Linked DNA regions of Oryctolagus cuniculus. The protein of the gene in region 2 purifies or fractionates together with the protein of the main gene of each other region. This does not show direct contact. Links are inferred from orthologs where the notes say so. Each region holds a gene or a part of one and is shown on either strand. Other genes may lie near its edges.

Region 1 (4,111 bases), on a different chromosome or scaffold from region 2:
TCGCAGTACTCGCGGCGGGTGCCTTTGCCGTTGGTGAGGATCCCACAGCCGCTCATCATGATGGTGCCTGGTGCGGGAGGTGGACGCCCTGGTTAGGACACAGGCTTCTTCCCCTCAGGAAACCCCAGGCCTGCGCCTCCACCCCTGCCAGTGCGGGCACCTGACTGCAGGTTGGTCATGGTGGCTGGGTACTCCAGACTGTTGGGGTTGTGCGTGGTGACACCGATCTCGATGGATCCCGACCACTTATCTACAAGCTTGTCGATGCGGATCTGGGGTCCAGTGACAGCGGAAGGGAAGACCAGGGAATGTAAATACAGAGGAGGGGCCCCAGGCCTTGGTTCTTCCCAGAGCACGCCCTCCTTCCCCACCCCTCTGCCAGCACCTCCCTCCCTATCCAGCCCCATCTTCAGCTCCCAGAGGGTGAGGCGCTGGCCAAACCCCAGGGTTTGCACACCTCAAACATTTCATTGTCCCGCAGCGGGCGGTTCGTCATGACGACCCCGTTGTTGAACTCATCCAGGGGCCGCCGCCGCTCAGCTGTCTTGTTGTTGTTGCTGAGTTTGATGAGGGTCCCACACTTCTCGTGAAAGAGCAGGGCGTCATTGGAAGTGAGGATGGGCGAGGTGGCAGCGCCGCTGGATGCCAGCCCTTCCCCTGCCGGGGGGGAGCTCAGGTTCACGTTCAGGAGCCCCCCGTTGTAGGCAGACAGGATGGTGTTGCTCACCACCTCCGACAGCTCCATGCTGGCAAAGTCTACAGCAGCAGGACGGAGGAAGGACAGCGCGATGAGACCGCGCCCTTGGGCTTGGCGCCCTCTCTCCCTGGCCCTGTCCTGCGGCCCCTCCCCTGTCCACCTCACTGCCCACTTCCCCTCCCAGGGCTTCCCCGAAGCCCTCACCATTATGCGAGTCAAGGCTGTTAGGAAACGTCTCCGGCCGGGCCTGCGCTGGGGACACCATGAAGGCTGGGGACCAGGTGGGAGGGGAGGGGAATAAGGGTTCAGTCCCTGCACCAGGGCCCACAGACAGGAGACCCCCTCCTTGAGCCCCTGCTCTCTGCAGGGATCTGAAGGGCCCTGCCCACACCCGGCCTCACCTGTCACTACAAGTCTCCCACCTGAGCTACTCCCGCAGCCCCACCCCTCCGCCGCGGCCCTGGCTGCGTTCTTACCTTCATCCCCGGAGGTTCCCTGTTCAGCCAAGGCGGGATCTTCAGAGGGGGCTGAGGGCTCGAGGGGAGGGGTGGGGAGGGGAGCAGGGGGACAGAAGCCTGGCTCAGGGGGCAGCACAGTGATCTGGGTGCACTTGCCATAAAGGTCCACGACAGCCCAGACCCGAGCGGGCAGGCCTGTGGCAGCCACGCCACAATCCCGCCCGTTCACCCAGAGCCGCAGCTCCCCCGCAGCCGTGCGTTCCACGCCCACACGGTCCCCTTCGCCAAGCTGGTCCAGGTCCTGGCCGTACTCCTCCAGCACGGAGCGTCCGTCCCTCAGCACCGAGCAGCCTGACACTACCCACGAACCCCCCTTCAGTCCCGTGGCGCTGCTTGGGAAGTCCAGCACGCTGGGGTCCAGCGCCGTCACCCCGATCTCAATGGAGCCGCTCCAGGAGTTGACCTGTGTGTGTGACAAAGGCAGCGGATAGAGGCCCAGGGTGGGCCATCAGTGGGTCCCCAATGGCTGGAAAACCACACCCCACAGGCCTTTGTATCCCCTTCTTCCTATCCTTCGGCTCACTGGCTTTCCCTCTCTGAGATGCTGATCCAGACACGCAAACCCATGAGGCATTTCCCACTCTGCCTCAGTCATCGTTAGGGTCTGCTCTCCTCCAGACCCTGCGTGTCCTAGGGTGCTCGGGGTCTACCCCACTCTTCCCCGCCCCCTCCCGCGTAGGCTCAAGTTCCCAGCCAGCCTCCTAGCTGGCCCAGGTCACCCTCCTCCCTCGGGCCTCCTTCTCTCCAGGCTCCGCCCAGAATCTCCTCCCAGATTTTCTCACACACACCTGCCTCGCCCGGGTCCTCTTCACCCATCTCTCTGGCCCTACCTGTGAGTTCCCCCCTCCGATGCTTAGTCCTTGTCTTGGGATCTCTCTTCTCTTCCCAGCACATCTCTGCATCCCCCACCCCCAAAAAGCTGCTCCAAGGAGGCTGCTCCCTAGTCATTCTACCGGCGAGCCCCCGTGCCCCCCTCCACTTCTGCTCCTGTTTCTTCCTTCGGACTGGACGTCCCTGCTCGCTCCCTGTGCATCGCCCGGTGCTCTACGGCCTGTCGCTTCCCTGTCAGTACCCAGCGACGTGGGCTGCCCTGGCTACCCCGCCCCGTTCTCCCTCTGGTCCCCTCCCACTTCTTCACATCTCGGTTCCGCCGCCCCGGCTCTGCACCTTGCGGTCGATGCGGACGGTGAAGACGCGTCCATCGCGCAAGGGTTCTCGGCTCAACACCAGGCCGTGGTTAAACTCCTGGCCCGGCTGCTGCCGCCGCGCTGTACGCCCACAGGCCGACAGGCTCACCAAGCGCCCAGTGCGCGGGTGCAGCTCCGCGCCGCTGCCGAGACCCCCGCTGGACCCCGGTCCCGGGCCGCTCCCGCCGGGGCCCGCCCCGCCCCCGCCCGGCCCCGGCCCGGGGCCCCCACTCCCACCCGACCCCGCCGCCATCGCCGCTGACACCGGGGCCGCGCGACAGTCGCGCTTGGCGGCACCGTGGCAACCGCGGTAGACGGACACCCTGAGGGAATACGACCCGGGGCTGGGGCCAGAAACGCTTTACGGCACAGCCGGGCAACGAAGCACCTCCGGCTAAGGAACTAAGGACTACAACGGTGGGAACAGAAAGGACGACGGGGTCGGGGCGGGCTGCTTTACGGCAAGGCGCGATGACAGTGTCTCTGAGAGGAGTGAGGACTTGGGGAGGGCGCTTTTGCGACAGTGAAAGGAGGATACGCCTGTCGCAGGCATCTTTACGACGGAGGGCATGCTGGCGCCCAGCTTCAGCTTTGCGACGACCGCATTGTCGGCCCCACCCCCCTGGGAGAGGCAACACCTCCAAGTATTCGCTTTACGGCAGCAGAGGGCCGATTCGCTTCACGTTACTTCCTGCAAGGCGCTATGAGCTGAGTCTAGGGGAGCCAGAAAAGCCGTAGCTTTATAAATGAAAGTGCCTGCCCTCCACGTCACTGAGATCGGAAATGCGTTACGACAGCGTCGCAATCTCCTCACGCAACGCCTCGCTCCTCTCCTGAGGAGCAGAGAGCCGACTATTTAGGGAAGAACAAAAAAATTCCTATATATTTCAGGTCAAGTCTAGCTTGATCTCCAACCAAAGAAGCGCCCAGTTTCAAGCAATGGCACCGATGGTCCCAAAAGATTCCTTCAGAACTATATGCCCCCGGCGCAACTCCTGTCCTCGCGCTGTTGGCGGACTGTGATGTCACAATCGAGGCTTCTCGCCCCCTAGCCAGGTCCTCTGGCTTTGATTGGCTGGTTCGGATGAGGGCGGTGATGGAGGAGGGCGGGAACAAATCGCAGAGACAAAGAAAGTCTCTGGGTTGGACAGAAAGGGAACGGTGACTGGAGGGTGCCCCGGCCGGAGGCCTCAGGATGGTCTAGAAGCCGCCCACCGCCCACCGCGGCGGCAGAGAACGGAGGGGGAGGGGGCCCGGGCCTGAACCCTCGCGTTCCCCGCCCCCCCCGCGCTGGGGGCGGGGCCTGGGCGGGGCTTGCGGAGCAGGGAGGCGGGGCGGGTGGCGGACAGTGGCCCCCTGGTGGGGCCATGGAGAAGCAGGAGCCTTGGGGAGCTGCCAGCCGCTTCGACGGGGGATCTCCTGGCCGGGCAACCAAGGCCGGGCCAGAAGGGGTCAGAGGAGCCGAGGCAGGCCCTCGGCACCCTCAGTTCCCCGGGAGCTCCGCCATTCACAGCCCTGATTCGCGGCGGGCCCCTGCGGGAGTGGGCCTCGGTACCCCTGGCCGCAAGTGCGGCACGTGTGTTGCTGGATACAGCACCCCGTACCCTGGAAGCAGTGTACCCCACTCCGGGGCGCACGGTTCAGAATGCGGTTCGTGCCACGGGGCAACCTGCTTGCAATCCAAAGACTCCGGTGTGGACCAACCCCGG
Region 2 (4,220 bases):
ACCACCAACATGGCCAGACTTGAAAGTTTTTAGCTCCTGGCTTTAGCATGGCCCAGCTTTTACAGCCATCTGGGAAGTTAATCAGAAGATGGAAGATTCCTCTCTCTAATTCTGCCTTTCAAATAAACAAATTAATGTCTTAAAAAAAAAATTAATCTTTCGGGGCTGGTGCTGTGGTGCAGTGGGTTAAAGCCCCGGCCTCAAGCACCAGCATCCCATATGGGCACCGGTTCTAGTCCTGGCTGCTACGCTTCTGATCCAGCTCTCTGCTATGGCCTTGGGAAAGCAGTGGAAGATGGCCCAAGTCCTTGGATCTCTGCACCCTTGTGGGAGACCCAGAGGAGGCTCCTGGCTCCTGGCTTCGGATCGGCTCAGCTCCAGCCAATGCAGCCATTTGGAGAGTGAACCAGCAGATCAAAGACTCTCTCTCTCTTCATCTCTACCTCTCTCTGTAACTCTGTATTTCAAACAAATAAAAATAAATCTTTTTAAAAAATTCATCTTTCATATAGATTGCTAATTTATGCTTTCAAAATAAGCCTCCACCTGTGATGCTGGCATCCCACATGGGCACCGGTTTGTGTCCTGGCTGCTCTTCTGAAGTAGAGGATGGCTCAAGTGCTTAGCACCCTGCACCCACATCAGAGACCTGGTTCTTCAAGAAGCTCCTGGCTCCTGGCTTTGGATAGGCCCAGCTCCAGGTATTGTGGCCTCTTGGGGAGTGAACCAGAGGACAGAAGACCTCTCTCTCTGTCTCCCCCAAGATCTCTCTGCCTTTCAAATAAATAAATCTTTAAAGGAAAAAAAAAAAAAAAAGAATGACAACAGACCTTTCTCAGTTCTCATAACTTAAATACAATTTTAAACATATTATTATAAAAGTCATATATGCTCCTTATAAACAAAATTAACATTTTTTGACTAACATAATATGAAAATAAAATGAAAAGCAAAGACTCCTCTCCTCTCCCCCAAATACATCCCTAAAATTCTTTTGCACGTCCCTAACCTCAAAATAATCTTCCTTTCCTGAATCCCTGGGGGTATTACAATCTGTACACCACAACAACTTATATTATACCTCTTCCCAACAAGACCACAAGCTGCTCGAGCTCTGATCTGCCTTTTACTTCCAATGTACCTCATGGACCAAACACACACACTATACAAAGAAAACATTTAACTTTCTGATACTTGTGAATGAGCACTACTACGGATTTTGATTAGTCAGCATTCATCTACCTTTGACCCGTCCACCCAGATCATCCATTCATGGTCATCCATTCCACTAGGCTGGGAGAGGAGACCTCTGAGTCAATTGTAACTTCAAAATCCCACAGGTGTGCCAAGGCAGTCAGGTCACTGAAGTGCAGCCAGCTCCAAGCTGAGAGGATATAAGGGACCCTGGCATACTGCATTAGGAAGAAAACAGAGTCTGTTCCAGTCTGGAGCCAACATCCAGGAAAGCAAACCTGAGCAACAGAGGCAGAAGCAGAGAGGCAGAGACGGAGACCTAATGACATCAGTTAGCACTGAGCCTCCTTTCACCACCAAGCTGACTACTCTGACTCCCTGAGTCTTTATCATATTCAGGGAACTCTCATCGGGCCTGAAAAGGGAGAAACATAAAAAACATAAACATATATACGTTAATGGACTCTGAGCTATGCACTATAGGTGTGCAAAACGATGATGGTGTGAAACACTGAGAATGAAGAAGTAGCAGATGTGTTGGTAGGAAAGAAGGTTTTGCAGGAAAAGGGCCTCCGAGATGACCCCTGCATTGTCGGCTCACGGCAAACCTCTGGCGCCGCTGTCCTGCTAGCTCCTTAGGCACACTGGCCATCTTTCTGCTCTTGAGAAGTAAATTCTTTCTGGCCTCCAAGCAGTTTTGCCACTGTCTGGATGTTCTTTCCACACATCGTCTCAGGACCGGCTGCTTTCTCCCCATGGCCATCTCTGATCAAATGTCGCCTCTTTCCACCACCAAACCTCGTGTCCGTCAAAGCTGACCAAACTAGAGACCGTCCCCATCACCGGAGCGTGAGCTCCCGAAGCAGGGGCTCCATCGGAATGAAACACCTCTTCGTTATGCCCAAGCTCTGGCGCCGAGCCCAGGGACTACATATTTACTCAGGGAGAGACCGGCAGTAACTGAGAAGTAGCTGCTGGTTGAGTCCAGGGACGGCGATGGGAAGGGGGCAGCGAAAGACAGCTGGCCGGGAGGCTGCCGAGGGAGCTGCAGTTTACCTCCGCGGGAGCGGAGGGGTCCGACCCGGCTTCCCTTGCCCACGCGCCGTGCGGGCAGAACGGCCTAACCCACGGAGTGACCAACCCCCGCGTGCTGCCTTCTTGTTCCACGACCCCGCAAGTCTCTGGTCACCAAACTTATCGCCCGGGCCGAGCCCCGCGGACGCTGGCAATGTGTCTGAGCAACAGCCATCCTCGGCCGCTCCTCGGAGGGGGTCCGACGCCCAGCCGCGCACCCCTGCGCCGGCTCAGCCGCCGGCTGACGCGCGTCTCCCCGCCCCCAGCCCGTCCGGGAGCCCGAGAGGGCCCCCACTTACGCTTGTCTCCGGGCTATGAGCCGATGCATGGGAGTCGCCATCTTAGCGCGGCCGAGGCCTGCCGCGCTGAGTTTTGGGAAACTCCTCGCAGGGGGCGTGGACTTGGACCCGGCGGCCGCGGCGTGGGCGGGGCCTCCGGGCGGCTTCTGGGCGGGGCCTGCGGGCGGCCTCTCTGAGGAGGCCGAGGGCCGGAGGCGGGTGCGTGCGGACGCCGCTGTGGGTCCGTCCATGGGGCTGAGCGAGGTTTGCAAGGACGGTGACGGGGAAGCACATTCCCGAAAAGGAAAAGTATGTATTTTTAAGATTCGTGTGTATAGGTATCCCCCACACGCAGAGATACTGAATGAAACTACTGTGTACCGGAAAGCAGAAGTCTGGAGAATAAAATAGTGAGCGGGCCCTGGATCCGAGAGAATGGGTTTAGCACATCCTCAAGTGAAAATGGTGTTAACTGTTCATTGTTTAATATATTCACAGCAATGTTATAAGGACCAAAGCTGCTTTGGCAACCAGAAAAAGACCATCGCAAATATTACTTTAGAAAATTGTAGCTATACCTATTTGTAGTATCGACTCATGGAAATGTTCTCCCAAGTCCACAATCTTTTCTATATATATATATATATATATATATACACTCTTCATATGTATAATTACTCCAAAAAGTTAGTGAAAATGGCATTAAAAGAAAAATGTACATTTCCCACCAACTTTTCTGAAATCCTGCTGTATATATTCTTGTCTGTTTCTAGGTCACCCATTTGTATTTTTCAATTAATAATTATTTAGTAAAGTGTTTAGGAGCTTGAGATGCTGTGTTGTTCAAGTTTAGACCCTTGGGCACATGGAACTTTCTACAGATAATAAACAAAATCTGCTATGATTAGGGTGTTTTCCCCCGATAATTCATGTGTTACAAATTTAACCACCAGGGCCAGAGCTGTGGTGTGTCAAATAAAGCATCCGCCTGCAATGCCGTCATCCCATATCTGCACAGATTCAGGTCCCACCTGCTCCACTTCTGATCCAGCTTCCTGCTAATGTGCCTGGGAAAGCAGCAGAAGATGGCCCACATGCCAGGGCCCCTGCACCCACAGAGGAGGCAGCTCTTGGCAGGAGGCTCCTGGCCTCTGTCTAGCTCTGCCCTGGCCTGGTGCAAACACTTAGGGAATGATCTGACAGATAGATGTCTCTGTCTCTTCTGCCTCCCTGACCTTCAAATAAAGAAATAAATCTGAAAAAAAAAAAAAAAAGAAATTTAATCCCTAAAGTCATATATCAGTAATATTTGGTAGGTGATTAGGTAACGGAGATTCTGCCCTCATGAATAAATGAATCTATTTTCAGATTAATGGATTAATTTGGTTATTGAAAGAGTAGTTTCGTTATGAAAGTGAGTTCTCTTTGCCGTGCTTACTTGGTCTTGCAATATGATGTCCTCTACTGTATTATGATGCATTTAGAGTGAACCAGTGGCTAGGTTTACCCTTTGGCTGGCTGTCTCTGTCTTCCTCTGTACTTCTTTGTTTCTCTGCCTCTCAAGTAATCTTTTTAAAAAGGAAAGAAAAGGAATCCCAAATAAAGGAGTAAAGTGATTAATTTTGAGAGTTAGAGAAGGTAATGATGTCAGCTTTGAGTACAGCTTGTTCTTTA

The links. Proteins that work in one complex are often made in the same cells at the same time.
Region 1: the proteins of ZCCHC10 (region 2) and NEURL4 purify together in Homo sapiens (co-immunoprecipitation; 3 studies listed by BioGRID and IntAct, with this or other methods). This does not show direct contact. The link is inferred for Oryctolagus cuniculus from reciprocal best matches to the Homo sapiens genes ZCCHC10 and NEURL4.

What each region holds. Positions count from the first base shown.
Region 1 is NC_091448.1:51,927,442-51,931,552, forward strand, and holds the start of NEURL4 (neuralized-like protein 4), read right to left. Parts: upstream 2,801-4,111; 5' UTR 2,656-2,800; coding exon 2,383-2,655; intron 1,619-2,382; coding exon 1,174-1,618; intron 968-1,173; coding exon 902-967; intron 757-901; coding exon 458-756; intron 273-457; coding exon 161-272; intron 68-160; coding exon 1-67. Other genes in the region: uncharacterized protein, read left to right, coding at 3,770-4,111. UniProt on the Homo sapiens protein: Promotes CCP110 ubiquitination and proteasome-dependent degradation. By counteracting accumulation of CP110, maintains normal centriolar homeostasis and preventing formation of ectopic microtubular organizing centers.
Region 2 is NC_091437.1:21,523,621-21,527,840, forward strand, and holds the start of ZCCHC10 (zinc finger CCHC domain-containing protein 10), read right to left. Parts: upstream 2,801-4,220; 5' UTR 2,798-2,800; coding exon 2,568-2,797; intron 1-2,567.